2 linked regions of the Anolis sagrei genome follow. The protein of the gene in region 2 interacts with the protein of the main gene of each other region in a pairwise test. Links are inferred from orthologs where the notes say so. Each region holds a gene or a part of one and is shown on either strand. Other genes may lie near its edges. The genes, in order: RBL1 and RBBP8.

Evidence for each region.
Region 1: the proteins of RBBP8 (region 2) and RBL1 interact in a two-hybrid assay, tested with the Homo sapiens proteins (2 studies listed by BioGRID and IntAct). The link is inferred for Anolis sagrei from reciprocal best matches to the Homo sapiens genes RBBP8 and RBL1.

Annotation. Positions count from the first base shown.
Region 1 is NC_090024.1:207,658,403-207,674,509, reverse strand, and holds the start of RBL1 (retinoblastoma-like protein 1), read right to left. Parts: upstream 7,336-16,107; 5' UTR 7,264-7,335; coding exon 7,111-7,263; intron 3,504-7,110; coding exon 3,370-3,503; intron 2,088-3,369; coding exon 1,887-2,087; intron 1,311-1,886; coding exon 1,246-1,310; intron 1,165-1,245; coding exon 1,036-1,164; intron 928-1,035; coding exon 767-927; intron 1-766. UniProt on the Homo sapiens protein: Key regulator of entry into cell division. Directly involved in heterochromatin formation by maintaining overall chromatin structure and, in particular, that of constitutive heterochromatin by stabilizing histone methylation.
Region 2 is NC_090024.1:59,987,990-60,004,016, forward strand, and holds the start of RBBP8 (DNA endonuclease RBBP8), read right to left. Parts: upstream 7,836-16,027; 5' UTR 7,503-7,835; intron 6,560-7,502; 5' UTR 6,472-6,559; intron 1-6,471. UniProt on the Homo sapiens protein: Endonuclease that cooperates with the MRE11-RAD50-NBN (MRN) complex in DNA-end resection, the first step of double-strand break (DSB) repair through the homologous recombination (HR) pathway.

The sequences.
Region 1 (16,107 bases), about 150 Mb from region 2:
AGCACACAACAATAACAATCCTATCTCATCAGCCAAAAGCAGGCCCACACTTCCCATTGAAATACTAATATTTGTTAAAATTGTTAATTCTAATTATTGTATTGTTTTAAAGTGTTTTTTGCACTACAAATGAGATATGTGCAGTGTGCATGGGAATTCATTCATTTTTTTTTCAAATTATAATCTGGCCCTCCAACAGTTTGAGGGACTGTGACCTGGCCCTCTGTTGAAAAAGTTTGAGGACCCCTGATCTATATCATAATGCACTAACACTGAGGCTGTTGTTGAAAGACTGCTGGCAACTAGCTGAACTGCAGCAGCATCACAGATACTAAAAGCAGGCAAAAGGTTATTAGTTGTCACAAGTTGTGTTATCATGATCACACAAGAGGCAAAACTAATTGGTATTTAAGGCAACAGAAAGGGGAATGAGAGAAGGGAAGGCATCTTACAGCAATACCTCTCAGTAGTTGGTCTTTGGGACATTTTTGACTCAAGTACCTAGACTCCATGACCACTGGCCATGAGGGCTGGAGTTTCTCAGAGCTCAAGTCTAAAAGATCTCAAAAACCAAAGCTGTGATCCACTGACTGAGGTGACAAGAGTGCACAGAGGTTCAAAAGAATTTTCTAAAAACAAAACCCCCCAATTTTCAATAAGACCTTTTCATTCTTTGAAAACAAATACAATAGAAATCCAGCAAAAGAATAGTCTCCCAAACACGAGTCTTTCAATTGCCAACAGAGAATAAATTAATAGCCTTTACCTTCCTATCATAGAGCTTGGAGATATATGGCTTAAAATAATGTTCCTTTATGCCCTTGGCTTCTACTAAAAGGCCATCATGTAATTCACAGAGTGTGGCAATAATGCATGGAGGTCCTTCAGAGATCCTGAAGTCAGCTTTGTGAAAGTCTTCTGGCAAACCTTTTATTTAAAGCAGAAAGTGAGAAGAGTTTTTCCCCCCACAAAGATACATGTCTTTCAAAAGATATATGAAAATGGTATTTTAGTGAGAGAAAATCAAGATCATACCTTTGAAAGAGGAATTCAGTAAATCTATTTTATGTGGGCATAGAAGTGCATTTGTATAAATCAGATCTAAGCAGCACAGAAGTAAATGGTATGAATTCACCAGATCATCTCCGATCATACTGAAATTACCTTTAGAAGAAACAATATTAGGTCAATTAAATCACAATTAAAATCACATTCAAAATGAACATGGGGGAGGGATTAAGTTACCTTTGGTGTAAACAAATAGCGTCCAGCAGAAATTGAACAGATCTTTAGCACTACAGGGTATCCGCCTATTGGAAGAAAGACAAGTTTCAGTTAAACTAAAGATAAGCAGGTCTGCCCATGTTTCCTGCCAGTGTGCTGTACATGTGTCTGTCTCCCTGTTCCCCAGAGGCAATTAAATCCATCTGCCAACCCAGAAAGTTTGGGAAATATGCACCAATTGGCTGGCGTGGGAGAAAGAAGATGAGGAGTAACAACAGAGAAGGGAAAAAGAAAAAAAGTAAATTAGAAAAAAACAGCCTTTTATAAAAAAAAATCTAAAGAAAATCTAAAAAAAACAAGGGAAAGAAGAGAACAGGAGAAGAGATTCAAATGCCAGAGAGAAGGAAACACAAAGCTCTCTTCTCCAATATTTGAAAAGAGAGGAGGCAAATAGCAGGCCAGGCCCCAAAGTGAGTTCGTATTCCCCATTAGTGAGGGGCCAGAGCTTCAAACTGATCAGTTGGAGAACCTGTCTATCAGAAGGAGTGGGAGGACAAGACTACTCCTGGATGCCTTCCATACACCAAGGGAGAATAAACAATCTCTTTTCTTTCATACTATATGAAATCCAAGTATCCAAGTACCCCTGGCACAGCAATTACCTCTGTTTTCTACTTCTTTGTAGCTTTGGTTGTTCTTCATAAGGATTTTTAAATATATCCAAAAATATTGGTGTGAACTTCTTGAAAATCACAGTGGACACTTCAAAGTTTCTCTCTAGTCTTTCCACTCTCTCTCGAAACTCATGAGACAGATTTGACATGTCCATCCATTTTTTCATTTTACTAAAAAACTGAATTAAACTTAAAAGAAAAACAAAACATTAAAGTGTATTTTCCTCCTAATAGTTCTCTAGATTTTTTCAACATACAAGGTTCTTTAATAACTCTCTGTTTTGGACCAATATAAATGTGCTCAAGCCACTTACATCACAGGACTATGAAGAAATTTGGATCTCTCTCCTCCAGATACATTGCACAATTCTTAGGACAAAAAGTCAAGTGAAAAAAAAAACCTAGATAAGGCTAAATTAATTTTTTTGCCTCAACTAGAGCAGACATATCTAAATGAATGTGATTGCATCTATACTAATCAGTCTCATAGTTTTTCAATAGGTTTGCTGTAGATAACAGCAAGTGTTTCCAATTCAACTGCGACTTTAATTTTAAAAACAGTATTTAAATCATGTTGGTTTTTCTGAATGTTTACAATACCAGGGTGAAAAACAACCATGAAATTTCTCCACTTTTTAAACCTATCATTCTTCATAGTAATAGTTGAGCAAAAAAAAGTGTATATATTGCAAATGATGTAGTAATCTCACTCAATCAAGGGTTTCTTTTGTGATTTGGGGAATTACATTGAATAACTAAGTTAATTTTGCTTGTTCCAAATGATACCTTTGATGCTATCACGAACGTTCTTTAATTGAGTTGGGATTTTTACTACTGAGCCGAAGTTAAGAAGCTAGAAAACTAACATTATATGATCACTCAGTGAAGTACCTTTCATTTGTTCAATCTAATTTTATCAATTGTTTTAGTAACAGAGTCAAATATAATTTAGTTATATAATATGAAACTACATTCACTACACCACTTTGAATCCCACCCTTGGGAGAAAAGTGGAATAATAATAATAATAATTCACTATAATGTGATTGGTTTTATAATGTATTATGATAATCCAATTGTTATTGCTACACATTCTGCAAAACACACATGCATACATATATTGCTTGGAAAGCTAATAGGAAAAGGGAGCTGTTAACCTAAAGGTATTTAATCTGCAAGTATCTTCCAGAAGGACAATAGGTACCATTCTTCATGATGCTTCAGCACCTGCTAAATGCATGTGTTTAACCAAGCAGTTTCATTTTTAATAAATAGCTCAGTTCAAATACTGTTTTGACCATGAATGTGTAATTGGCATACAAATATTTCAAAACTTCCAGTTTCAATTTTTTTTGTCTCTGAGGCTGTACTCTTCTCCACATTAGCTAGTTTGCTTTGATTTCTTTTTTTAAAATAGTAAATACATAACTTGTTTTCATTCTAAAGATTAATAAAAAATCCAAGACCATACCTTAATTTTGCCGTGCGCAATATCCGAGTCAGTGAGACACAATTTCCTTCCATCAAACCACTTCCTACAGTGGGAATAATACTCTTACGGCAGGCAACATACAGAGCACAAGCCAGCCAATGTACAGTTTCTCCCTGGAAAAATAAATAACTAAAAGTTTTCAAGAGTAACAGCACTCAACCCGTATTCTACCATTTAAACTCTACATGTGACAATATCTGCAAAATGTTTTAGAAAAAATACAGTTGACCCTTCACGTTTGTGGATTTAACTTTTGCAGATTTGAATGTATAGGTTAAAATCTCACTTCCTTTTTTTCTTATATATTTCTTTTCATATACAAACATTTTCCAAAACAATGATTTTGGACTTAAGCAAAGTCAACACTGGAGCTTCCAGTGGCTCAGTGGGTTAAGCTGCTGAACTGCTGAGCTTGCTGACCGAAAGGTCGCAGGTTCAAAAACATCCAAACACCTTCTTCTAAAGACAGCTTTCCCAATGATTACCATCAAAAGCTTCTTCTTAGGATATGTTCAGGCCCAGAGTATTTGGCAACCCGCATCCCTGTCTACAAATCTGTTTGGACCCTGCAATCAGTGGAGGGAGCCCTCCTCTCAATCCCACCCACCTCAAGCACAACTGGTGGGAATGAGAGAGGGCCTTCTCTGTGATCACTCTTATCCCTCTGGAACTCCCTTTCGAAAGAAATTAAAACAACCCCCTCTCCCTCTCCCCCAAGAAACAACTACAAACCTATTTCTGTTCATTAGCTTATTGAGAGGAGGAATAACATACATCAACTCCATTCTAGTGGACGAAGTTGTCAACAACAATGACTGCTATTTTATCGAAGAGCTATATATTTTATACAGATTTTAACGGCTTAATTCTATTAGTTACGATACTTGTTGGATCGATTTATATGCTTTTAGCCTAAGTCGTTCAACCTGCTTTAATCGTTTAAATATCTTCATTTTATTATTGCACACGGTACTGAATGTTTGTCGTTTCATTTTGTTTATGTAACACACTCTGAGTCTCTTCAGGGAGAGAGGGCGAGTTAAAAATAAAGGTTCTTCTTATTATGTTACCTTATGATGTGCTAATTTAAGATTTGTTACACACCACAGTAAACACCAACAAAACCCAAGGGAAAATTATTATTATTATTATTATTATTATTATTATTATTATTATTATATATTTATACCCCTATTTATCTCTCCTGCAGGGGACTCCATACATAAAAACATCAGCACACAATTTAAAATATACAAATATTAAAACAGAATTATACATTATTCATATTAAAAACAATTCAGATTAAATCCATAAAAGTAAAGGTTTCCTCTTGACATGTCAGTTGAGTCCGATTCGGAGGGTGGGGGTGCTCATCTCCATTTCTAAGCCGAAGAGCCAGTACTGTCCATTGACACCTCCAAGGTCATGTGGCCGGCATGACTGCATGGAGTACTGTTACCTTCCTGCCGGAGCTGTACCTATTGATCTACTCACATTTGCATGTTTTCAAACTCCTAGGTTGGCATATAATAATAATAATTTTTATTTGTAACCCGTCCTATCTCCCCAGGGGGATTCAGGGCAGTTTCCAGAACAAAAATGGCACACATTCAATGCCATATCAAACAAGCAAAACAGATCAACAAAAATAATAATCAATAAACTGATAAACTTAAATAATAACCATTTTATCATAAATACATCTCATCATACACATTTAACATAATAAAAGAGTCTGAGTAGTGTAAATGCATTGGAAGTATGATGAGTGATGTTGTTTAAAATAGTTTAAATTATGATATACAACATAATTTTAATTTGACCTGCTGCACAATCACAGCCACCTTAAATCCATAAACATATAAAACCACAGCATTCCCTGACATGAACGTAGAAACCTCCTTCTTGAAAAACCTGCCTGAATTTTTAAAAAAATATCCAAATCAACAAAGTGGATGTAAATATGATCTAAAGCACATTATCGGTTTACAGAGAACGACGTTGAAATCTCAAATCTAAATAAATAAAAATGTAATGTTTGTTTGTGGGATTAACAGAACTCAAAAACCACTGGACTAATTGCCGCCAAATTTGGCCACAAGACACCAACTAACCCAAGGAGTGACCATCACTCAAAAAAACCCTGATTTTGTCATTTGGGAGTTGTAGTTGCTGGGATTTACAATCAAAGAGCATTCTGAACTCCACCAATGATGGAACTGAACCAAATGTGGCACACAAAACTCCCACGACCAACAGAAAACACTAGAAGGGTTTGGTGGGCATTGACCTTGAGTTTGGGAGTTGTAGTTCACCTACATTCAGAGAGCACTGTGGACTCAAACAATGATGGATCTGGACCAAACTTGGCACGAATATTCCATATACCCAAATATGAACACAGATAGAATTTGGGGAAAATATATGTTGACATTTGGGAGTTGTGCTTACTGGGATTTAGAGCTTGCTGAACCCCGCCAACGACAGAATTGGGGCAAACTTTCCACACAGAACCCCCATACTTAAGGCCATCCAGTCCAACTCCCTTCACCAGGGCAAGAAAACGTAATCAAAGCCATCCTGACAAAGACCCATCCAGCCATAGATATAGATATCTATGATTCACACGCACACACAGATATAGTATCATAGATTTGAAAGGGACTCCTAAATTAGGACAATTATATGTTGCATGTTCCAGAGTGGGCAAGCCAGACACTCTCCACATCAACACGGACAAAGAAACGGCAAGAAATACTGTTGACCCATAAGCATAAAGAAATTAAATCTATATAAATAAAAATGTAATGTTCGTTTGTGGGATTAACAGAACTCAAAAACCACTGGATGAATTGACCCCAAATTTGGACACAAGACACCTAACAACCCAATGTATGTCCTTCACTCAAAAAAATTGATTTTGTAATTTGGGAGTTGTAGCTGCTGGGATTTATAGTTCACCTACAATCAAAGAGCATTCTGAACCCCACCAATGATGGAATTGAATCAAACTTGGTACACAGAACTCCCATGACCAACATAAAATACTGGATGGGTTTAGTGGGCAAAGTCCTTTGGCTTTGGAGTTGTAGTTCACCTACATCCAGAGATCACTGTGGACTCAATGATGAATCTGGACCAAACTTGGCACGGATATTCGATATGTCCAAATATGAACACAGATGGAATTTGGGGAAAATATATCTTGACATTTGGGAGTTGTAGTTGCTGGGATTTAATAGTTCACCTACAATCACAGAGCATTCTGAACCCCACCCATGACAGAATTGGGCCAAACCTTCCACACAGAAACCCCATGTGGGCCACAACAATGCGTGGCAGGGGAAGACTATAGTGTATTAGAAACCAACTCTTTCTAATTACTTTATTTTCTAGATCAGCTGACTGGGTCACAGCAACACGTGGCAGGGGACGGCTAGTACCAAATAAAGACATAATTTGATAATATTCAAAGAGAGTCAAATTCGGCCCTCCAGGTGTTTTGGACTTCAACTCCCACCATTCCTAACAGCCTCAGGCCCCTTCCTTTCCCCCCTCAGCCGCTTAAGCGGCTGAGGGGGGAAAGGAAAGGGCCTGAGGCTGTTAGAAATGGTGGGAGTTGAAGTCCAAAACACCTGGAGGGCGGGCCGAAGCTTGAGACAGAGACAGTGATGAGGCGCTAGGCCCGGTGAGGCCTTGACAGAGGCAGGCCGAGCGAACCTCGAGGCTGTAGGTGCCCCTCAGCGCGGAGAAGTCCCGAAGGGCCTCGGCGGCGCTGCCGGCGTCCAGGTTGAGTTCCTGGCAGAGGTGGGCGAGGGCGGCACGGGCGGGGCATGGCACAGCGGGGCCCGGGCCTCCTCCTCCCCGCGGCATGGCGGCCGAGCATCCCCTCACGGCTCCTCCACTCAGCCCAAGCCATGCCCCACAGGCCTTTGCGCCAAACGCGGGAAAAGGGACTGCGCGTCATCACCGGGGGCGGGGCCTACCCTGAGCTCCTCCTCTTCCGCTCTGAGCTGAGTTCTATGCAGCATGCTCCAAAATAGTCTCTAGTAGGCTTGGGCAACCCATGGTTCTAAATGGTTCTAAAGTACTTACAAAACTAAAGTTCTGGTGGTGAAAATTTCAGAACTCTAACAAAACTTTCAAAATGTAATTCTTATTTCATTATTGGCGATTTTTATGACAGAACCAATTAGGAACTGCCATTTATAATGAAATTTTGAGAGTTTTGTTAGAGTTTTGAAATTTTCATCACCAGAACTTTAGTTTTGTAAGTACTTTAGAACCATTTAGAACCATGGATTGCCCAAGCCTAGTCTCTAGGGATGGTGTTGAAGGGTTGGAAACTTAATAAAATGTGGGCTATCCTCGTGTTTTTTTGGAGGGACAACAGACTAATGTAGATAAAGTACATTAGTACAATGGGCTGCGGTGAGATTTCCGGACTGGTTGGCCATATTCCAGAAGCACTCTCTCCTGACGTTTCGCCTCCATCTATGACAGGCATCCTCAAAGGTTGTGAGGTATATTGGCAACGAAGCAAGGGAAGGTATATATATCTGGAAGGTCCAGGTTGGGCGAAAAAACTCTTCATCTGTTGGAGGCAGGTGTGAATGTTGCAATCAATCACCTTGATTGGCATTAAAAAGCCTTGCATCATCAAGCCTGGCTTGGAGCCCCCGGTGGCGCAGTGTGTCAATTTATTTATTTATTTATTTACAGCTTTTATATTCCGCCCTTCTCACCCCACAGGGGACTCACACATATATGGCATATATGGCAGTGTACACATATATGGCAAACATCCAATGCCAATGTTTGACATACAAACATATACAGAGGCTATTTAACTTTTTCTGGCTGCCAGGGGAGCTGTCGCTTTCATCGTCCATCTGCGACGCTGATGAAGCACTTCCGCGTTCCCCGCATGCTTCCCCGCTGGAATACTTTGCTGGAGTCTTCTTTATGGCCTCATAAATCAGTTAATTTAGCCTCCCCACACTTTAAGGTGGTACCTAATTTTCCTACTTGACAGATGCAACTGTCTTTCGGATTGCAAAGGTTGACAACAGGCTACACACAATTGGTTGGAAACCCACTCCGACCTGGGCTGGCTTCGAACTTATGACCTTTTGGTCAGAGTGATCTTAATGCAGCTGTCACTCAGCCAGCTGCGCCACAATCCCGGTTAAACCCATGCTGGCAGGACTAAAGACCGACAGGTCGCAGGTTTAAATCCGGGGAGAGCGCGGATGAGCTCCCTCTATCAACTCCAACTCCTCATGCAGGGACATGAGAGAAGCCTCCCACAAGGATGATAAAAACATCAAATCATCTGGGCGTCCCCTGGGCAACGTCCTTGCAGATGGCCAATTCTCTTACACCAGAAGCGACTTGCAGTTTCTCAAGTAGCTCCTGACACGACAAAACAAACAAACCTTGATTGGCATTAAAAAGCCTTGCATCTTCATGACCTGGCCGATTTCTGCCTGGGGGCATCCTTTGTTGGGAGGTGTTAAGTCAAACTAAAACCAGGATAGTAAATAAAGAAAAACACTCTGAAAACAGGGGAATTCCAGACACGAAACAATCAGAGCCAGCTAACACCTCCCAACAAAGGGTGCACCAGGACTGTGGCGCAGCTAGCTGGGAATCAGCTGCATTAAGATCATTACTGACCAAAAAGTCATGAGTTCAAAGCCAGCTTGGGTCGGAGTGAGCTTCCGACCAATTTTGTGTGGCTTGCTGTTGACCTTTGCAGCCCGAAAGACAGTTGCATCTGTCAAGTAGGAAATTTAAGTACTGCTTATGTGGGGAGGCAAATTTAACTAATTTACGAGGCCATAAAAATCTCCAGCAAGCATGCAAAGAATGAGGAAGTACTTCATCAGTGTCACAAAATGGTCTGTGAAGGGACAGCTCCCCTGGTGGCTAGAATACCCTCATGAAAACCTGGAATGTTAAATAGCCTCTGTCTGTATATATGTTGTGTGTCTATGGCATTGAATATTTGCCATGTGTATGTACATTGTAATCCGCCCTGAATCCCCTGCAAGGTGAGAAGGGTGGAATATAAACACTGTAAATAAATACATAAATAAAATTCTCCCAAGCAATCAGCTAGGCCTTGAAGATGCAAGGTTTTACAATGCTAATCAAGGTGCTTAATTGCAAAATTCACACCTGCATCCAATAGATCAGTTCTTTTCTTCACCCTGGACTTTCCACAGATATATAAATCTCTCTTGTCTACTGTTTAGCCGTGCTCAACTGTGGTCAGCTGTGTTAGCTGTGACCAGCACTGCTGCAGAATTTGAAGAGGCATGAATGGAGGGCGAAAGAGAGAAACATGCCAAGAGGAAGGCGCGTCAAGCCAACCCCGACCGGGACCACCTTCCACCTGGAAACCAATGCCCTCACTGCGGGAGATGATGCAGATCAAGAACAGGGCTCCATAGTCACCTATGGACCCACCCGGGAGGATTATCCTACTCGGACAACAAGGGATCGCCTAAGTAAGTAAATAACTGTTTAGCCGGTACTGCATCACATGATATCCTTCAGAAAGTAGCAGCTGGTAATGAAAGGACCAAGGCATTGACATCTCCGGCCCATCCTCTGTACAGATTATCAGCCAGCATGCCAACATCTTAAATCAAGAAATAGCTTTCTAAGATCTACAGAGATAGTCGCAGAAATGCCTCAACAAGCAAGAGTCCAAAAGTGGCAGGTTAAACCCGGAAGTCAATCAATGGCTGATACTGGTTTAGAAACCTCCTCCGAAGCACACAAAAAACTGGTTGGCTTGGAAGGCACTGAATGCACTCTGGGACCACAAGATGCAGAGCCAACCTTAAGAAATAGGGCTACAAAGCAGAGTCCACAACCTGCAAGTGTGAAGAGCAAACTACAGACCTCTTACTACCATGCAGTTTGATCCCTGCCACATGCACATTGGAGGACCTGCTTACTGCAACACTAGTGGCACTCCAAGTGGCTAGCTTCCTGTCAAAGGAAATTTAGTATAATGCCAAGTTTTAAACTTTGTTGTTTGGGTTGCAGCTAAACATAAAAAAAAACCAAGATTATGGCAACAAGAATGATTGACAATTGGGAAATAGAGGGAGAAAACGTGGAGGCCATGACAGACTTTGTATTTCTAGGCGCAAATATTACTGCAGATGCAGACTGTGGCCAGGAAATCAGAAGACGCTTACTTCTTGGGAGGAGAGCAATGTCCAATCTTGATAAAATAGTAAAGAGTAGAGACATCAGACTGGCAACAAAGATCCGCCTAGTCAAAGCCATGGTATTCTCTGTAGTAACCTACGGATGTGAGAGTTGGACCTTAGGGAAGGCTGAGCGAAGGAAGATCGATGCTTTTGAGCTGTGGTGCTGGAGGAAAGTGCTGAGAGTGCCTTGGACTGCGAGAAGATCCAACCAGTCCATCCTCCAGGAAATAAAGCCCGACTGCTCATTGGAGGGAAGGATACTAGAGACAAAGTTGAAGTACTTTGGCCACATCATGAGGAGACAGCAAAGCCTAGAGAAGACAATTATGCTGGGGAAAGTGGAAGGCAAAAGGAAGAGGGGCCGACCAAGGACAAGATGGATGGATGGCATCCTTGAAGTGACTGGACTGACCTTGAAGGAGCTGGGGGTGGTGACGGCCGACAGGGAGCTCTGGCGTGGGCTGGTCTATGAGGTCACGAAGAGTCGGAGACGACTGAACGAATGAACAACAAAAAACTTTGTGTTTTTTTATACATTATAACTGTATTCTCTATTCGCTGACACAATAAATATTAGTACAGAAAGTAGCTGGTAATTACTCAGTTGCTTACACTCCTGTGTAAGAAGTATACAGTCACATGCAATTCAAAATAACGAAACCCATTCCAGAATTCCATAGCATGAACTTGCTGCAAAGCGGTATCAAAGCGTTATAATTGTGTGGTGTGTAAAATGTGATTGAGGAAACCTTATATCACCAAGGATTTAAGTTGATATGTGCCTCTCATGTTAACCTGAATTACCTATCTGGACGAGCCTACAGGGTGCTTATTACTGACAAACTTATAAGCAATAATGGAGCATACAGGGATGTGTTTACACTGGAAGATTGATGCTGTTTAACACCACTTTAGCTGTCATGGCTCAATGCTATGGAATCATGGGAGTTTGTAGTTTTGTGAGGCACCAATGCTCTGGTAGAAAAAAAAGGTTGAGATCTTGTAAAACTACAACTCCCAGGATCCCATAGTCGTTTGACAGTACTGTAGTTAAAAGCGGTGTCAACAGCATTAAACACACCCCGAGAAGGTATGGCTGATATTCAGTTCTGTATACTCTGCTGATGATAGGATGACTTGGGAGGTAGCTCATTCAGAATGTCGTCATAAGTCACCTCGACAACAGTTAACAATGTTCTTACATATCTTAGGATAGCTATAAATCAGTTTCAGAAGAACTACTGCATATTCCTTTATACTTGGTTTGTTTGTTTTTTAACACTAGCTCTGATATGCTCACATCACAATTACTTATCTATTTCACAGGCGTATGTTTTTCCAATGTAATATACTGGAAGAAAAAAAGGTTTCACTCTTGGTTTGTTTTTGTTTTTTAAATTGGTTCTTTAGCTGTACAGGATGCTTAATTTTGAAATTTATTATCCCATCAGGGATTCCATACAACCAAAAGAAAGTCTCACCAATCATCTGAATACACAATGGATTTTAATTTAACAGCCACACCTTTATGCAAAAGTGCTCAGGGAGTGATGAAAAAAGTATGATAGTAGCACAGAAATATATCTGATAGTCTTGGTCTTCAAGGAAATGCAGGTCTGTGCTTTGTTTCAATAGATTTGAGCAGCTCACTTCACTTTTGCATTGCTGTGCTCTTCAAACCCTTTAATGTGCTAATATGTATAAGGTGCTCACTTCATGGCTAAATACAAGCATGCATACCTGCCACTTAACTATTTCCTGATATCATGCAGTTATTCATTCATCTAACTGAACAAATAGCATGTTTGAAACAGCATTTCAGAAGGTGACCATCTCCATTAGAAACTGGCATCACTTACCGGGGATGTGTGACTCACATCTGAATGTGCCATGGAGCTGCTTCTAGTTTAAAATACTCTGCAGGCTAGGTCCAGCTGCAGAATTTACACAGTTCACCTGCAGTGTTTTCACTTAAAACACTGTAAATTATTTCACCAAATCGTTGTTTTCAAAATGTATGTCAGGACAAAAGCAAATATTTTTTATTTTACGGATGTGCTTTTTAATGTACTGGAACAAAAAAAAATCCATGCTATTTTCTACTGAATCATGGTGCAGCACAGTAGGGACCCTGAAATTTCCCCTTAAATCAGAAAAAGCAAATATTCATACCCTGACTCTAACTTTTTAAAATCCTGATGTAATGTTAGATTGACATATTAATCAGTTAGTGCTTTATTTGAGCTGTAAATCAGAAAGGCAATTTAAACTCCACTTAAGAATTAAATATACATCTGGAACTCTTTTGTTGGGTCCTGAAAAGTTGAACTGTTATAAAAACAAATGATCTTTGAAGAACATAGAAACCTGTAAAATTGTGAACTTTTGTTCCTCATTGTAAATTGGCTGGGCCGTCTGATATTTCCTTAAATGTCTCAGTTAGAATTGTTGATTTGAAAATTAATTTTATTATATAATCAATCAATTAATCAATAAAGAATAGTCAGCAAAATAATTTAATCAATTAGCCCTTGCAACAAAATAATAATTTAGGCAATTAGCCTTTGCAACAACCTGTGTAAAACTCAGTATCATGCTTCCAAAAATCATAGAATTATAGAATAACAGATTTGGAAGGGACCACTTGGGCCATCTAGTCCAACCCCCTGCCATGCAGGAAAAGCACAATCAAAGTATCCCTAACTGAAGGCCATCCAGCCTCTGTTTAAAAGCTTCCAAGGAAGGAGCTTCCACCATATTCCAAAGCAGAGAGTTCCACTGTTGAACAGCTTGTATGGTCAGGAAGTTCTTCCTAATGTTCACATGGGATCTCCTTTCCTGTAATTTGAAGCCATTGTTCCACGTCCTAGTCTCCAGGACAGTAGAAAACAAGGTTGCTCCCTCCTCCTTTGAACTTCCCTTCACATATTTATACATGGTCATCATGTCTCCTCTCAACCTTCTCTTCTGCAGGCTAAACACACCCAGTTCATAGGGCATGGTCTCCAGACCTTTGATCATTTTAATTAATTTCTAGAATTTTGTCATGGTTCCCCCTCTGGAGAAAGTCATTTGGTCATCTTCATTCTTCTTTTATATATATATATTTTAAGGAAATAGGATCTACTGATCAAAATTACCTAGAAATTACTGCTATCATTCTCTGCTACCACAGGGCTACCATAGTGGAGACATGGACTAAGGGCTCAGTCCAAAATCTGTATTTTTCTCTGTAATAAGGTGTACAGAGGTGAGAAGTACATTCATCTCTGATAAATTTCCATTTTTCTGAGATGGCAGAGAAGACAATGATACGTTTCTTGATTTGTGGTACTAGTGGTAAATGAAAATTAAGGCTTAAAGGAACGCGGCATGTGCAGCCTAATAGGATGTCTCGTTCCTATGTTGGCCAAAGTTACTCAAAGGGTCTCTAGACCTCATGTTCAGTCATGTCTCAGAGATATCCTACTTCCCAAAAAGAAAGGACATTTATCAGAGAAGAGACAATTCACAAAGCTGTAAACACTGAGGATGATTGATATATTAAATTATTATAATGGTTTCTGGACAATTAAAGCTGTTCACAATGTACAAACATCGATATGGTGAAATTATAAGTTGCTTACCTGTAACTGTAGTTTCCTGAGTAGTCACCTGCGAATGCGTACATTTGGTAATTGCTCCGCAGGCGCAGAGATTACCAAATGTACGATTCGCAGTGACTACGACAGTAAACAAAATCTCTAGAGGGATTTTTTCTCTCTTGTGTACCAACACATTTGTTTGGCTGTTAAGATTACTTTACATTCAACAAACTGGCCAGCATCTGGATTTTAGCTCCTTGTATGCTGGTCGGTTTGTTGTTCACTATAATTATTTGAATACCCAGTACCCTGATACTGAAGTATAATGCAAATGTACCTGCATTTTCTAAAAAAAGAGAGGAGTAGCAGACTTGAGTAATAATGACACTTGTAGTCATTAGAATATTAAAAGGATGACCTCTTAAGGAACGTTAAAGCAAATTATCAGAAGCCTAATTTTAAAAGCATCCTCTCTCACAGCAAAAAATAAATTGATAATCTGAGGGTCTAAAAATGTGACCATAGGTATTTAATTTTGCTAATTACACATATCAGCAAATTTACTATTTATGATATGCATAAACTGTTAAGATTGTAACAGAGAACTTTTTGAGAGTCTGCTGGCCTTGGCGATGGAAACATGTTGACAGTAGTTGTCTAGTATGGATCAATTAAGACAATTGTACCTAAGTAACACAGAATGTTACACTACATTTGCATCCCAGTGTTGGAGAAAGATGGAAAATTAAAAACAAAAACAAAAAATGAGAGCACTGTCTGATATTTGGGATGAGCGAAATTGTATAGTGGACCCCTGGTATCTGCTGTGGTCTGGTTCCAGGTCCCCTTGAATACAAAAATCTGTAGATATTCAAGTCCCATTACATACAATAGTGCAATAAAATTGTGTCCTTTATATGGAATGGCAAAATCAAAGTTTACTTTTGTGGATTTTTCTTTCAGGGGAAGAAAGAGGAATATTTCCAAGTTATGGATGGCTGGATTTTGAATAAATAATCTGTGAATACGGAGAGCCAGTTGTACTGCAGTAATTCCCATATGGTGCTAAAGTGATGCATAGTTCATACAGCAGTAGCTTCTTGGGTAAAAGGTATGCAATATGAAATAAAGTTAAGCTACAGGCCAAAACAGTGCTCATGCTGAGAAAAAGGCAAATCATGTTTAGTTGCAAGTCAAGCAAAACAATCAGAAATAGATTTCCTAGAAAAAATATTTACATCTCTTGCAAGGCTCTGTGAAAGTTTCAAAAACGCATAGCATAGGCACTAAATTAAAAATCTGATTTTAAAATCTAATTATCAATTTTTACAAGCACAGACAGTTTTATTTTAATAGCACATTAGATGAAGCATCTATGTGTGTTTATGAAATAAATGTGAAATTTGTGATTGTTTTTGAAGATGGTTATGGTTTCAAAAGCCACTGATGTCTCACTGTAAACAAGCTGAAACAGCTCCATCACTGCCAAAGGATCACACGTGAAAAGTCAAAAAGAATCCTACATACTCAGACACACGTTAAATAAAGAACAAGGAATATAGAACATGCTGACAAACTAAATTTCATTCTCAACCCTGTTCCTTACAAGTCAAACCCTGGCAAGTAATCCTTATTTATATATTACAAATAGACTCAAGAGAGAGAGATCTGCATCCATTCACAGTAAGGCTTTCAAGATATATGAAGGTTTATAGCATTTGTATTTTAAGGATTTAGGGCAAGTACATGTTCTTCTGCTAAATAAAAAGTTAGTACTTAAAAGGTTCAAAAATATATCAAGTGATTTTTTTTTACATAAATAAATTATATTGATTTTGGATTCAACAGCTGAAAAAACCTTTCTGCTTCCACTGGAGGCAAAACTGAACAAAACGTTAGTT
Region 2 (16,027 bases):
GAGTCCATGAAAAGCGAACCACAAAGTAGCGAGGGAACACTGTATATAAATCCCATTTGCCTAGATTTCAACAGACCTCTCAAGCTCTGAGGATGCCTGCCATAGATGTGGGTGAAACATCAGGAGAGAATGCTTCTGAACATAGCCATACAGCCTGGAAAGCTCACAGGAACCTAGCATTAAAAGATTTTAAAAATGTAATAAATTAAAAACACTGTACCTCCTCCCCATTAAAAAGTCTGCCGGCTGTCATCAAATGGCTCCTGAATTTTTTTAAAAAAATAGTAGCCTGCTTATGTGCTCACGCATATGCAAAAGGAGGGAAGAAAATAATAACAAGAAAGAAAGGAAGAATTTTTTTCGTGTCAGGAGTGACATGAGAAACTGCAAGTTGCTTCTGGTGTGAGAGAATTGGTTGTCTGCAAGGAGATTGCCCAGAGGATGCCCAAATGTTTTTGATGTTTTACCATCCTTGTGGGAGGTTTCTCTCATGTCCCCTCATGGGGAGCTGGAGCTGAAAGAGGGAGCTCATCCACACTCTCCCTGGATTTGAACCTGCGAACCTTCAGTCCTACCGGCACAAGGGTTTACTTTAACCCATTGTGCCACCGGGGGTTCCAGGAAGGAAGATAATGGTCCAAAATGGGCATAGAATGTATCTATTGGCTTAGTATTTTGCTTAGAGACCATATTTGTGTATGTTTAAGTGCCTCTGAAGAATTATAGTACAGGCAGTCTCCAACTTACAAATGATTCATAGTTAAGAACAGCAGTGAGACAACAGCAAGTGAGAGAAATCTACCCCTTGGAAGGGAAATTCATTCCTGGGAGAGTTGCCATGGGGTAAAAGGTGTCTCCACTCAAGCTTTATTACCAATCCTTGTTTCCACAACAAGCCATTTTTTCCCAAAATCTAATTAGCACAGTGAGACAAAGTGAGTTGAAATCTTCTGGACATAGTTACAAACAGCAAATCAAACACCACAGGGGTGTTAACCCTTCCCTATGCTATCCAAAGCCTATATATATCTGGAGTTAGACTGTAAAATGTACCTAAAACATACAAATTCAACTTAAGATCAAACCTACAGAACCTTGTTCGTGGCTAGGGGACTGCCTGTATTTCAAAACATTGAGCCAAGAAAGTCTTCATTTTTTTTTTGTTAATCTGACAGATTATATTTTTCTCAGACATATGAATATATTTTCTATGGCATAGTAATTCCAAAATAAGTATACCACTTAGAAAACATCCCAAGGCTTGTAATAAAACCAAATCCTCCTGACACTTTTGTCACATGTCTAAAAGGAATAAAGGTCCACACCTAGACCATAAAAGTGTGGGAAAAGGACTAGTGTCACACTTGAAACATGTCCATGATCTCATGTCCAAATTTTGATACCGCCCTTAAAATATTCTACTGATTGCAATACACCACCAAAACGATATCTTAGTTATCTATACTTCTATAAGTTTACATACCGGTTATAGTTCTCATCGTCATTGTTACTGTGAAGATAGATTTTAAAGTGACCTGCCCAAGACCCATTATATACAATGGCATGTAAAATGATATACTGTATATAAAATGGTTTGCTTTTAGGATTAAAAACAACAACATTGTTTCAATCCATGGATGATTCCGTGGATATAGAATATATGCCTGTGGGTATAGAGGGCTAATAATTGTATTTGCTAAGTGAGTTACCAAACTCTTGAAATGCAAGGATAATGAGTCTCAGGGCCCTTCCACACAGCTATATCAAAGCAGAAAATTCCACAATATCTGGTTTGAACTGGGTTACCTGAGTCCACACTGCAATATATTCCAGTTCAAAGCAGATAATCTGGGTTTTCGTTCAGCTATGTAGAAGGGGCCCCAGAAGCATGCTGCTGTATCTATAATTTGTTTTAGGGATTGAATAAACTTACTTATATTTTGGTGAAGAAAATCTGGTAAAATGTATTGGTAAGGCTCATATCTAGGTATCAGTTCTAACCAGAGTAGACTTGTTGATTCCAGTAAACACTTATGTAGGTTCAAGGGATTAAATGGATCTCTTGCGTCAGCCAGATTTGAATCCAGATCTATCATAAAATCCATTATAGACAGATCTGATGCATGCCATCTTAACTTGGAAAAAATTGGACATTTATAAAACAGGAACTATGATTATTGTATGTTTAGTATGACAATCAGATAATGGGAAAGACTTGGCTTCCTAGCAAGGGCTGAAATTGTGAATGATTAGTACAAATAGCTAATGCTTTCAGAACAGAGAGCTTTTCTCAGGAATGCACACATACATGCACAAATAATTTGTTGTGTGAATTGCATACAAACATATCTGTTACATGCACGAGACATTTCTTGTGCCACAATGTTTACATACATACAGTGTGTCCCCAAAATGTATGCCTCCTTAACACTTTATACCTGTGGTTCTCAACTTGTGGGTTCCCGGGTGTTTTAGCCTACAACTCCCAGAAATCCCAACCAGTTTACCAACTGTTAGGATTTCTGGGAGTTGAAGACCAAAACATCTAGGGACCCACAGGTTTAGAACCACTGCTTTATACTGTGATTCTGGATGTATTTTTTAAAAAATATATACATGCCTAACAGGATGAAGGATTAATTGCTCTTGGCCAGAGTGTATGTAATAATAGGTTTGGAAATACAGCTTCCATTTCTCAGTATTTGTCCTGTGTGTCATTGTTCAATTGTTCAGTGATGTGTCCTTTTTATGAATTATGTATCATTCTGAAATCTCTTGTCAATCTGTTTCCATGAAACATAAACCCTAAACATTTGTGTTAGAAGTCTTGGACTAAACCAGACAATCTTGTGGCCCTTTAGGTGTTCTTGGACTACAGCACCCAGCATTCCTCATCATTGGCTATGCTGACTGAAATTGATAGGAACCGCAATCCAGTAGTATCTGGAAGGATGCATAAACCTCACCCTCCAAATTCAGGCCCTGAAATTTCAAAGGATGGCCAAAAACATACCCTGCTATACAGAAATCAAAAGCATTTAATATTTCTAGCTCTGCACATAGGCTGCAGTTATACATTAAGGTTAAATCCCATTGAGAGATCAGTTCTATATGCAGGATTTGGGTATTAGACAGTGGTTAACACAAATCTGCTCCTGGAGTATAGTTAGGCAAACCCCTAGATCACGAGCTAAACAGGACTAATATCCCAGTCCCTGTAAGGCAGTGGTTCCCAATCTTTTTTGACCCCTTGACCAGGGACTACTCTCCAATATTAGTACCAAAATGGTTATGAATCAGTTTTTTGTCAACTTTAGATTTGGTTTGGTTATTTAGAGCACTGATTCAGAAAACTGCATTGGATAGACCACATCAGCTCTAGTTTCTGATATAGAACATATGCCATCCAGTAGTCACCATCTGCTCACCCACAGAAAACTATATTTAATAAGACTTGGCACTATAAGAGGGCTTTGTGAGACCAGTCACTTTAGTTGCAACGGTGAGGTCATGGACCATATTTTAATTCTTGCAGACCACTGGTGGTCCATGAACCACAGGTTAGGAACCACTGCTGTAAGGAGAAAATGGTAGTGCTGGAGAAAGAGTGACATAGTGACAGCCTGTCAGTCTTGGGAGGGTCAGGGACAAATGTGTGTGCTGCTGCTACTGTCTCAATTTCCTCCCACAGCAGAGGTGTGTGTGTATATGTCTATAGAATGGGTACTGCCACCAGAGACTTTAATATAATCTGCTTTTTAAAACAAAGTAGCATGACAGAGATGTTTCTATTTCTTATCCCTGGGCTGATGATCCCAAGCAATGAGCAAAAAATGCTCTTTGGAACTGCAACAAGAATTCTGCAATTGCACTTTAACTTGACTGTCTTCCAAATATTGTACTTCAGTTACCATCAGCCTTAGCTAGTGTTCCCTATGGTGAGGGATTATGGAAGTTGCAGTTCAAGGTCATCTGTCAGATATACATTTTCCAATACTGCCTCTAAGAGAATGAGTTTTTTTCTTTACTATTCTTGTTTGTATGCAACCTGAATAAAATTATACTTTTAAGCTCTAAATTTTGTAAAACAACATGTAATGGCACATACATATGATTGTTTTAAAAAGATAGCTGTAAAAGGTAATAAATTAGACAACTTATAATTTGCTGACTTTTAATAGCACTCAGAATTGGCTGCCTCGGGCCACCATTTCATTTTGCTTTATCAGGGAGTTGGTTTCACTGAATTAACATTCCCTTTGAATTAGCATTAAATTAGCTATATGCAAAGTGCAATTGCTTCATCAGTATTACAGGGACAGAGACTACAGAACAATTGACGATGCTCCCTGAGGGACTATAGCATCTGACATAAGTGCCACTCCTGTGGCACAGAAGGTTTGCCAGCTTTTTGACTCTTTTCTCTGAACCACAGCCCTTCAATCTGCTGAGCAAATGGATAGAAGAATGTGTTAGTAGCAAAGAAAAGCACTGAACCTTCAGAGAAGGCCATAAATCTACAGGAACCAAAGCTACAAACACATTCAGAAAATTAGTCAGTAATGAACAAATTATTTCCGAAGTTAGTTTAGTTAATTTCTTCCCATTGCAGTCAACTTGTGGAGGGCAAAAGAGGAAAACACCTCTTTCCTTTTTTTTTTTAAAATAATCTTTATTCACTTTTCCAAATACATATAGTAAAAGAGGGGCAATAGTTAAAAAAAAGAAGGGAAAAAAGGAAAGAGGCAGGGAAGAGGTAAAGAAAGAAAAGCACGGGTAGGTAGAGGGGGGGGGGGTAATTCCTGAATACATCATGCTTGCTGGGTTTTAAATGTGACAGATGCTCCACCATAGAATCTCCTCCTCCTCCTCTATAGGATCTCACTGCCTGGTTGGAATTCTATTCTAACTTACCTTAAAGTAAGCCATGGTTGAACACATTGGGCCTTACTCCTGAGTTGACATACATAGGTCATGCTGTGGACTCTAGATAATAGACTGCAGTATAATGAAAATTTAAAGCATGTCACCATAAAAAGTTAGTTGAACATGGCATATGACATACTTTCCATTGAAGTGGGCAAGTGTGCAAGCAGCCCCCACATTTTGTATTTGTGGGTCCTGGGTATAAAAAAAATTGACTTATCCCCCACCACTAAATTGCTCTTTAGGGGGATATAGAGGGTTTTTTTCACAAACCTTTGGAAATTTGTGGATCTCTCACAAATTTGCAAATAATTTCAATTTTTAAAAAATCTCAACATGACTAAAATGCTTTCTAGGGTTCGGAAAGACTCCAAAACATACCCCTGTGTCCTCTACAGGACTTTACAGGCAAAATTGGTGTTTCCATGAGATCAGGTATAACAGGGGCCTGTCTCTCCAAGGTCTCTTGGCGGGCTAATGTGGCCTCTATGACTTCAACAGTTGCCTACTCCTGCTTTACATATGAAATGATTTGCCAGCACTATGGAACAGTGCAAAAGCAGAATAATCTTGGCATAGGATTATTCCTTTTGTTTGTGAGCAGTCCTGTACTTGGGTTTTCATTCACCTTTTTCCCCAGCCAGAAATATAAGAAATACTTAAGTTCTAATGAACCATGTAAAGTAAAGGAAGAAGGGGGTGTCAAACTGATTAGAGTGTAGAGCCAGCCTAACCTTGTTGGCTAACTTTGTAGGTAGTCCAAACCTCCCCCTCTCTCTCTCTATATATATATCTAAATATAAAACAATATAATAAGCTATATAGTAGTTTTGATAAGAGATGCAGTACTGTTATAAATCTTTCCTCATAAGCAGGTACTGTACCACTAAATTCAATGTGTCTTACTTCCAACTAAGCATATCTAGATTAGGCATGGGCAAACGTTGGCTCTCCAGGTGTTTTGGATTTCAATTCCCACAATTCCTAACAATCAGTAGGCTGTTAGGAATTGTGGGAGTTGAAGCCCAAAACACATGGAGGGCCAAAGTTTGCCCATGCCTGATATAGATGCTATTTAGCTGAAGATGGCTATAAGATGTGATCTAATTTATCCTTAACTTGGAATCTTACTGCAATATTATTCATCTTTCTTGCAATATTATTCAGTTAAGATTCACAACAGCTCTGGTGAATATAGTAGGACTTCTATATCAACAGACATAGAAGAGCTGTTAAAATTTAAAATTAAGGAATACATTAACAACATCAGAAAATTTAGTTTTTGGAATGGTGAAGATATATTATCCCATTTATTAAAAAATATGTGGCTTTCCCTTGTACACTGCAATATGCTGCTTAGTGCTATATCAGATGACAGACATTTGCATCCTCCCAAGGAATAATAAAAACAACTCTTCATCAGCATGGATAGCCACATATCAAGCTGACATTTCCTCTCTGGGATTATCCTGAGGTCTAACAGGCTATTTAGATCTATTAAACAGCTTTGAACCATATATTATTAACAGCCAGTATTTTACTTACCTCATAATTTTTTTATTTATTTTGTTTGAAATCCACTAGTTTTCATGAGAAGAGACCACACAGTACAGGATTTATCCCCCTTTTCCTGCTTTAAAGAGGAGATAGGAAGAGTCACTTTTAGTTCAAACAAAAGTTATTTTGTACAAACAGGCATGACAAAACCTGTCTTCATTCCTTTCTGTTCAACTCAGCCCAGTATAATTCTTAGCTTCAGAGCACAATCCTATACATGTCTACTCAGAAGTAAATCCCAATGAGTTAAGTGGAACTTGCTCCCAGGAAACTGGTTAATCAGTTACCAGATTTTATAGACTTTGTTTTCAAAGTTGTCATAATTCTGATTTGAACTTGGAAAATCACAAATGCATAGACCTCAATTTTAACTCATTCTTCTGGGGCTACAGATGAGGAACCTATTTTATTTTGGATATGATAGCAGTATAATCTCTATATAATAAAGGGACTCGTTTTTCTCCATGCAACTTATAACATGTGCCAGGCATCAATGTGTGGCAGGATATGTGAATTGAATCCATTGTATTTGTTAATGTGTTATGAGTTCATCTTATAAGAAAAGCATCATTTTGACAATCATATATTAAGCATTTTTCTTTATTATGTTGCCATAGTGAAACCAATATATTTACCACACATTTCACATATAGAAGCTAATATTACTATCTTGTATTCATTTACCTTGGCATTAAGTAATTTGAACTTACATGTAGGGATTGCACTATATACCAAGGAAAATTAAAGGTCTTACCAAATGTTTAGGATAACATTCTGGCTACCTATCCTTGCATGTCTCATGACTTGCTTCATGCTTTGACCTGCATTCCCACTAACGTGATGAACAGCCCCATAAGAGAACCACTAAATGATATTAGCAGGAGTCATATACATGATACAACATAATATTAATACCCAACTAAAGCATGCAGCAGTATATCTAAAATTCTTGGCACAACGTCTGAAGTTAAGGTCTTAAAATTGACTATTCAGCATTAAGGGAGACGTTATATACTTACCTTTTTGTTTTGATTGTAAATGTTCAGTCTGACTCTGCTCTTGAGCAGCAGTGGTGGGTTATTTAATGTTTTCTTCCCCTGATCATACCAGCTGGGAAAGGTAAGGCTATAAAATCACCCGTGGACCACACTAGAGAATGCTGAGAGGAGTTTTGCTGCAGCTCGGATATACACAATGTGCAATGGATAACCTAATATGTCTTTCATTTAACTGGCTGGGCAGGTTTCTGAATTCTCTGGAACATGGAATCATACCAGAATTTGTTGGCATAACAGGCCCGTCAAACTGGTTCTTGGGTAGAGCAAGAACCCGTCCAACCAGTCTGCATCAAAGGGCAGCTCAACATGCTGCGGCTCAACTCAGCTCTGAAGCTTCATAAGTGGCGAATTATTCACGCCTCCACCAACTCCCAACAGAGAATGTTGTAGCCTCCAGCAAAACAATTTACCAAAGGGTTGGGGAGTGCTGTATCCCTAACCATATCAAACACAGCAACATCCTATTGTTGCAAAGCTTTTTTATTACATTTCTAGATGGAGCGGTTGATAGATAAGCATTGCATTGGTCATCCAAAGAAAAGAAACAAATGCAAAGAAACCAATAAGAAAAGGATACTTCAATTAAACAGCATTTCCATTTCTTACAAACAGTACTCAAACTGGGATCCAAGCCTGAAGTATTTTTAGATGTTGGTAGCAAAAGCTCCAGTAACCAATAGAAATAGAAATATTATGTTACACATACGATTAAAGTGCGGGCAACACAAAAACGTTGCTCTTTTTGGAGCAATGTTTGATAGTATTTAGTTTGCTATACAGAGTTAATGCAGGAGTGGCAGGTCAGAAGAGATGTGTGTTGATACATGTAAAACTAAGTTGCAAAACACGTTGAAGCATTGCAATGTGCTAACAGAAAGATAGCCCTAATTTCCAACAGACTGTATCCTATTAAGGTTTTACAAGCATCCATTGTTTGTAGCATTCCAGAAGGCCCTTGTAACTTTAATTTTAAGTAGAGATCCAATTCCTAATGAAATTCAGTTTTCTCATTTACCGTTAAGATCAGGATTTGGTTGCTGTGAGTTTTTCGGGCTGTAGGGCCATGTTCTAGAAGCATTCTTTCCTGGTGTTTTGCCCACATCTATGCCAGGCATCTTCAGAGGTGATGAGGTCTGAGGATGCCTTCCATACATATGGATGAAACGTCACGAAAAAATGCTTCTGGAACATGGCCATTGGCCATACAGTCCAGAAAACTCACAGCAACCCAGTGATTCTGGCCATGAAAGCCTTTGACAACACAAAGATCAGAATTGTTTGGTGGGGACACAATATCCAATGACCCCAGTGATTTTTACTTGTCTTTAACGGGATGATCAACTTGGTGGAAATGCTACTTTCAGTCATTGCCATTCAGAAAGCATCCCAAGCTCCGTCTTGAAAACATTTATTATACTGATCACAGCAATGAACAATAAGGAGCAAGAGTAGTACAGAGAAAACAGGGAAGAGAAGGGAAGTGAAGGAAAACTGAGATAGTGGAAGAGAAGGCAAAATGTACAGGGAAGGACAAAACAACAGGTGAGGGAAGGACAAGGATATAACCGTCTGCCCCAAACCAATTTCTCATAGGTTCTAAGGGCCCTTTCACACAGCCATATAACCCAGAATATCGAGGCAGAAAACCCCACAATATCTGCTTTGAATTGGATTATCCGAGTCTACACTGCCATATATTCCTTTAAAAGCAGATAACGCTGGATTTTATTCCACTGTGTGGAAGGCGCCTAACATTATTTAGCTGTATTGGAAAATGATCTCTTTCTTGTTATAAGATTTCAACAGAAGGGCATTCATATTTTCTTTTGAAGGGAAACAAAAAGCAGCAAGATTTTACCAATATTCCATCTTTGAATGATACTTTTAAAACATATTTTATTTTTCATATTCTATGAGAGATTACATGATCCTTATCTCCAGAATTGGATTTCTCCTGTGAGATGGAAGAACAAATTACCTACCATGCACAGTGCTTGCTGGATTATCATGTTAATTTCCCTTTGAAGCTTATATCACCAGATAAAAATGCCCATCAATGTAAAAGACCTGCCTGGACAGCTGCAGCTACATCTATACTATAGAATTAAGACAGCTTGACACCACTTTTACTGCCATGGCTCAATGCCATAAAATTGTGGGATTTATAGTTTGGTGAAGCACTGTTTGGCAAAGAAGACTACAACTCCTATGACTCCATAGCATTGAGCCATGGCAGTGAAAGTGGTGTCAGGCTACATTAATTTTACAGTGTAGATGCAGCTTCACAGTATTACAATAAAGATCTTCAAATGTACCAGATATCATGGACTGGTTTTTTTCATTCAGATACACTTGGGAAAAAAGTGACAAAAGGTATTGGCTCACATATCTAGCTCTAACATGAAAATTTTAATTATACTTTCCAAATGATTAGTTGTTGGAACATACTAAATTACCGGTTCAGCTAACTTTGGATCATGCTGTCATCATTTCATCAACCTTAGCAGAATTTTTTCCAGGTGTGGAAGGAAAAAAGTCTAATTAAATCATTTGTGTTGAAATGCAAATATTAACATAGCATACAGTCAAGGTTGTAGGTTGCAAATGATTTAGAGAATGGAAACAAACCCAAAAGAAGCTACAGAGAGTAGAACAGTTCTAATGGTACAACAGATGTGCAGCGTTTACATTACAGCCATACGACCTCAGGCTATTGTTTTCAGAATTGAGCTCGGTCAGTAGACCTGAACAGAAGAGTTTCAGTTATATGTGGTGTAGGAAATGGTTTTGATGATGTAGACAGGCTTACAATGAGTAGGATTAAAGTCATACTGCATATCATGAAGAAGAGTACTGATTGCTGGAGGTGTTCTTTATAATTAAATATAGTGTTCAAGGACCAGGCTATATATTAATAAGTTTGATTATCAAAAATAGTTTTGAAAGGGGGCAATTTAGAAAAAAAGTATATGCCAACGTTTCTCAAAGTGGGGACCCCGGGGGGGGGGTCATGAGGGGGTTTCCGGGGGGGGGGGTCACCAAAGACCATCAAAAAACACATATTTCTGATGGTCTTACGAACCCCTTTGACAAAGAAGGCTGAAGATCTCTCCACCTGTCCTTCTCTTCCTTTTTGGAAACAGATAGAAAATGCTCTCACCAAAAGCCCTCCTCCTCCTGTGATTGGCCGGACTCTCAGCTGGCCTCTCAGCCAAGGGAAGGTCTGTTTCTGAGACTCCAAGTGGGGAGAGGAGAGCAGGTATGCTCTCCCCTAAATCACTGTCAATTCCTCCCAAATCCCTCCAGTATTTTCTGGTCATGGGAGTTCTGTGTGCCAAGTTTGGTTCAATTTCATCATTGGTGGAGTTAAGAATGCTTTTTATTGTAGGTGAACTATAAATTCCAGCAACTACAACTCCCAAATGACAAAATCAATGCCCCTTAAACCTCACCAGTATTCAAATTTGGGTATATCGGGTATTTGTGCCAAATTTGGTCCAGTGAATGAAAATACATCCTACATATCAGATATTTACGTTACGATTCATAAGAGTAGCAAAATTACAGTCATGAAGTAGCAACGAAAATAATTTTATGGTTGGGGGTCACCTTAACATGAGGAATTGTATTAAGGGGTTATGGCATTAGGAAGGTTGAGAACCACTGGTATATACAGGACATGTTAAGGTGAAGTAGATGCATCATTAACCCTCTCCTTCTTATAATTTTGCTACTCAAACTTTCCTCTCTCCAAAGAAATTTTCTCCTGGATTCCAGATGTGTTTTCTAGCATAAATTTGTCTCTGGCAAAAGTTCACTCCGAAAGTTGCTGCTTGATTCTTTCATTCTCTCACTTTTTTCATTTTATGCTATAACAAAGTAACACGACTATTTTTTAAAGGAACTACTGGTAGGTGAAGAAAAATCAAAGTTCATATTGCTACCTTTTTAATGTAAATTTGCCCTTTCCCATACTGCTTTTCTGTTCACAACTACAATGGTGACCAGGGTTTTAGAACACGTTTGCATGCTCTTGACCTTTAAATAATGTATTTTTATTCCCAAAGAAAGGCAATGAAAATGAGTACAATATAGGTAGTGATAACCATCAAAAACAGGATTTTAAACACACATGCTTGCAAGCTCCTAACCCTTAAATAATGCCTTTCTTATGGAATAAAAAATACAGTGAAAATGATTGCAACATAGGTAGTGTTAATCATAAAAACATTTAGAGACAATTTACTCTGTCTTGCCTATTTCATTAACCTGTTTGTTAGTAAGATTTTGATGATATTGTGTTATGGTGTTACTCACTGGTTGATAGTGGAGAAGTTCTGATCAAACCATTTCCTATAATCCCTGTTGTTGACAGGTTTTCCTTAATTATTTCACTACACGCGAAATCCATGAATTCATTTTTGTGCTTAGCACGTTGTGCTTAGCGAGCACTTCATTTTATAGAGCAACACAGCAATGTGTCTTAAGGTGAAAGAGTTTGAATTTCACAATCTTTCTTAAAGAAGCAGCAGCTGACACAGGTGCTGACTTGCTCCTTTGGTAAATGTATGCACAAACATTCAAGGTTTTATTATAAAAATGCACAATACAATATTGAAATATGTCCAGAAGCTTTATGAACAAATCTGTGGAGTCTCAGGGTGGATCTAGACAGCTCTTTTACTGCGGGAGTTACCGCAATAAAAAAGGGGCTGTCCAGGTGACGTCCTGGACAAACTTGCATTAATCTCCCACAAACCAGGAAAACCCTGGTTTGTGGTAAATTGATTTGATAGTGGGTTTATTCCACACTTTCTTGGAAGACACAGGACAAACCCACTACTTCTGGTGTCTGGACAGCAGAATACTGTCCAGACAGTATTCCCACAGTTTTCCAGGCTAAATTAGCCTGGAAAATTGTGGGAATACCAACCCCTCCTCAAAAGCCCTCTAAAGAGAGAAAAGAACTCACCCAGCCTCCATGGGACAGCTGCTGGAATTCTACTGGTGTGTACAAATGACATGCCAGGAGAAAGGGGGGTGGAGGAGGAAAATCACTCCTGCCCCCCCTTCTCCTGGCATATCATTTGTACACATCAGAAAGTGCGTGTGGATGGGGTCCCTGTATGGAAAGGCCCTCAGGAGCAGGGATAAAATCCCTGAGAAGGTTAGCCAACACATATTTTCACAATACTCGCTAGTAGGACAAGGAACCCCAAAGCTGTCATTTGGACATAGACACTGATGAATTAAAGTTGCAACATTTTTATGTAGGAGGCAGTCTGGATTCGGAATTCTGGATTATGATATGTATCAATAGTATGTGTGATGTATTTTAAAACATATTTTATTAATAATATCATGGCAAAATACAAATAAAAGCAGGTTAAAAATAACAATATACTTGTAAAAATAAATAACCCTTGTTGATTGATAATTTCTTAGCCCAATTCATGCTTTTAAAAACATCTTTCAAATCCTACATGTGTTGGAATCTGCATTTGGTCTAAGTCAGGAGTGGGCAACTGCATATCCATCAAGGGCCAATTATTTTACCCCCCCCCCCCCCCAATGTCTGGGAGGGCACACCCCATCTCAGCCTTTCAATAGGAGTGATCCTAGATTAATCATTGAGCCTGGAACCTCAGGCTAGGGGAGCTTTTGCACAATTAAAACTTGCGTGCCAGTTGTGCCCGTACCTTGGGAAGTCAGACTTGGCCACAGTAGTCCATGCTCTTGTTATATCCCTAATAGACTACTGCAATGCACTCTACGTGGAGTTGCTTTTGAAGACTGCTCAGAAAGTTCAACCGTGATAAGATGACTAGTACTTCTAATTGCTATTTTGAGAACACATTGTGTGTGCATGTGTTTTGTTTTTTGGGTTTTTTTAATGGAGGACTCTGGTAGACTGGAGGAGGTTTCAGGAACTGAAAAGTGACATCTAAAAAAGTGCACGCTAAAACGCTCCAACAAAGAAATACGATTCTTTGGAAGATCCAAAAGCAGAAGATGAGAGAAGATGCAATGATAGAAAGAAGAGACTAGATTCACCAGCATTCTAGGGACCTCTTCACACTGGGTTTTTTGTGGCCCTATTTCCTTCTTCTGGATGGGGCCTGCCAAGTGCCATCAAATGACACTGGCTTGGTCCCACCCCTATTCCTCCTGAAGTGGAGGGGAAGCGTCACAAGATGCTTCCTCCTCCACAGACGGAGAGGAAAGTGTGTTTTGGGTAGCTCTGATGTGCTGCCTGATTTTTTTTTTGCCCTTTTACTCATTTGATGGGGAAAAGGGAAACGTGGCAACATGGGTTGCCACCCTTTCACCCATATGATAGGTCAAGGATATGCACCTTGTCCCATGCCCACCATATGATGGGGGAAGGAGGGAGAACATGTGGGGTACCATGTAGCACCCCACACATCTGCAGGTGAAATGGCATGGCCATTTTAGGACTTGAAAGAAAATAAATACTGCAGAAATGTCCTGTTTTAACTGAGCACAGCTGAAGATAAGTGCTGGTGCTATTGAAGTTATTTAAATGTTGCCATGTTCTTTGGGCATTCTGGGAGCGATATGTGTGTGTTCCCCAAGTTTTGATTTTTTGTTGTAGGAATGATAACTTCTATGTAGTCTTTGCTTTTGAATAATTGTGATGCTTTGCCTTGTTTGTGCTTTCTTTGCTGGCTTCTGATAGCTCTACACACTGTTTGAGAGAATCCAGCAAAGCTTTCTATGTTCCATGAAATAATGTAGGTCTAGGTACTTGCTTGAGTGATCACTTATTATTTTCCCCTCATAGCCAAGTTCACATACCAATTAACCACCTGCAGTGCTATCGAGTTGGAAAGCACAGCAATAAAGCTTCCTAGGAAATTAGATTTTCCTACCATCAGTGTAATTAAATCAACTAGAGAGAAAATGTGCATCTGGGTGTTTCTAATCTGTGCACAGGATGTGGAACACTGACTTTCATGAAAAGCCCAAGATTGACACTAAGTGTTGGATCAACAGTTTAGCTTTGTTAAATTTGAGTTCATGAACTTGCAAACCACCATCTGATATTTTTTTCCTCTGGAGTGACAGTGCTTGAATTACTGGGCAAACCACATTATTTTCAGGAGGAAAAAGAGGCTTGCTGGGGCAAAGCTGACCCATTCAATGTAAGTCTTACAGGAACATTGAGATCAAATGAATTCCCCCAGGGCTGGGAACTGAGCCACCGTGTCTCTCTCCGATTTTGTGAGTGCACACTCCATGCTGTAAAAGCAAAACTGCACCTGTTGATAAAGATACACGAGAAGACTAATAAATCCCCACTGTCTTTAAAGATGCATCCACTTTATCACATCCTGTGAAAAGAGTTGTGTATGTTCCTTTAGGTTGTCTGTTGATTTATCCCATACATTTTATTGAGTTTTCTTAAGTAAGGAATATTCAGAGGTAGTTTGGCATTGCCTTCCTGTGAAATAGCCTGCAGTAACTGTTAATCCTTGACGGTCTCCTATTCCATGTACTAACCAGACCTGACCCTGCTTACATCGAAAGATCACAAAGGAATTAGTGCTTTTTGGATCTTTAGACCCGTGAAAACAGACTATATGTTTTCATTAAAAAAAGAAAGAAGATCAGAAACCAGTTATGACTTTATGGGATGAAGAGAACCCAGGGAAGGAATCCACAGGCACTGTGATCCAGCAGATGATCTGGAAAGATATTCATCGCCTCTCCATCCCCTCCAGTATTGTCCTGAAGATCACAATGCTCTTGTGTCCCTTTCCTGGTTTCTACCCTTCTGTGCCAAGTACACATTATTGGAAATTCCATAACTTTTTGGAAGTAAATGCACCACAACCTTATTGAAAAGGTAAAAATGAAGTTACATCCGTTTGGCAAATGTGAATCTTCATGGACATATGGAGACCACCTTTTGAAAACCACTAAACAAGAAAAGCATGGCCTTGTTAGAAGTCTACCCTTTGAACAAATTATATTCACAAGTGTTCATGTAATGGCACACTGGTAACTCAGCTGTTAAACTGAAGAACCATGTCTTTAAACTGCCAAAGATAAAGACATGCACTACCAAAATATATTTGGTTAGCAGATGAGGATTGTTTCTTTGATTTGAAATTGCAGTTGTAATTGCCCAAAAAATACACCCCCTTGAAATCTCTTAGTTAAAGGTTTCAGAGATAAGAAAAAGTCTTCTTTGAAAAATAACATATCTTGTTTATTCATAAACAACTTGCATTAATTCACCATACAGGCACATTTCTTAATAGAGTTCAGTTTAAGAAAGATGTAGTTTCTTCTCTGTGTTGAGTACACAGGGTATTATCATCATTTGTCCATGGTCTTTAAGTATATCTGCACTCACTGAAGTCCATAAGTCATACTTCTCTACTAAAGTCCAAACAGCAATATGCATCCACCTCCACTGAGGTATGATGCAAACCGAACCCAAAATGAAGTCCTGTGTC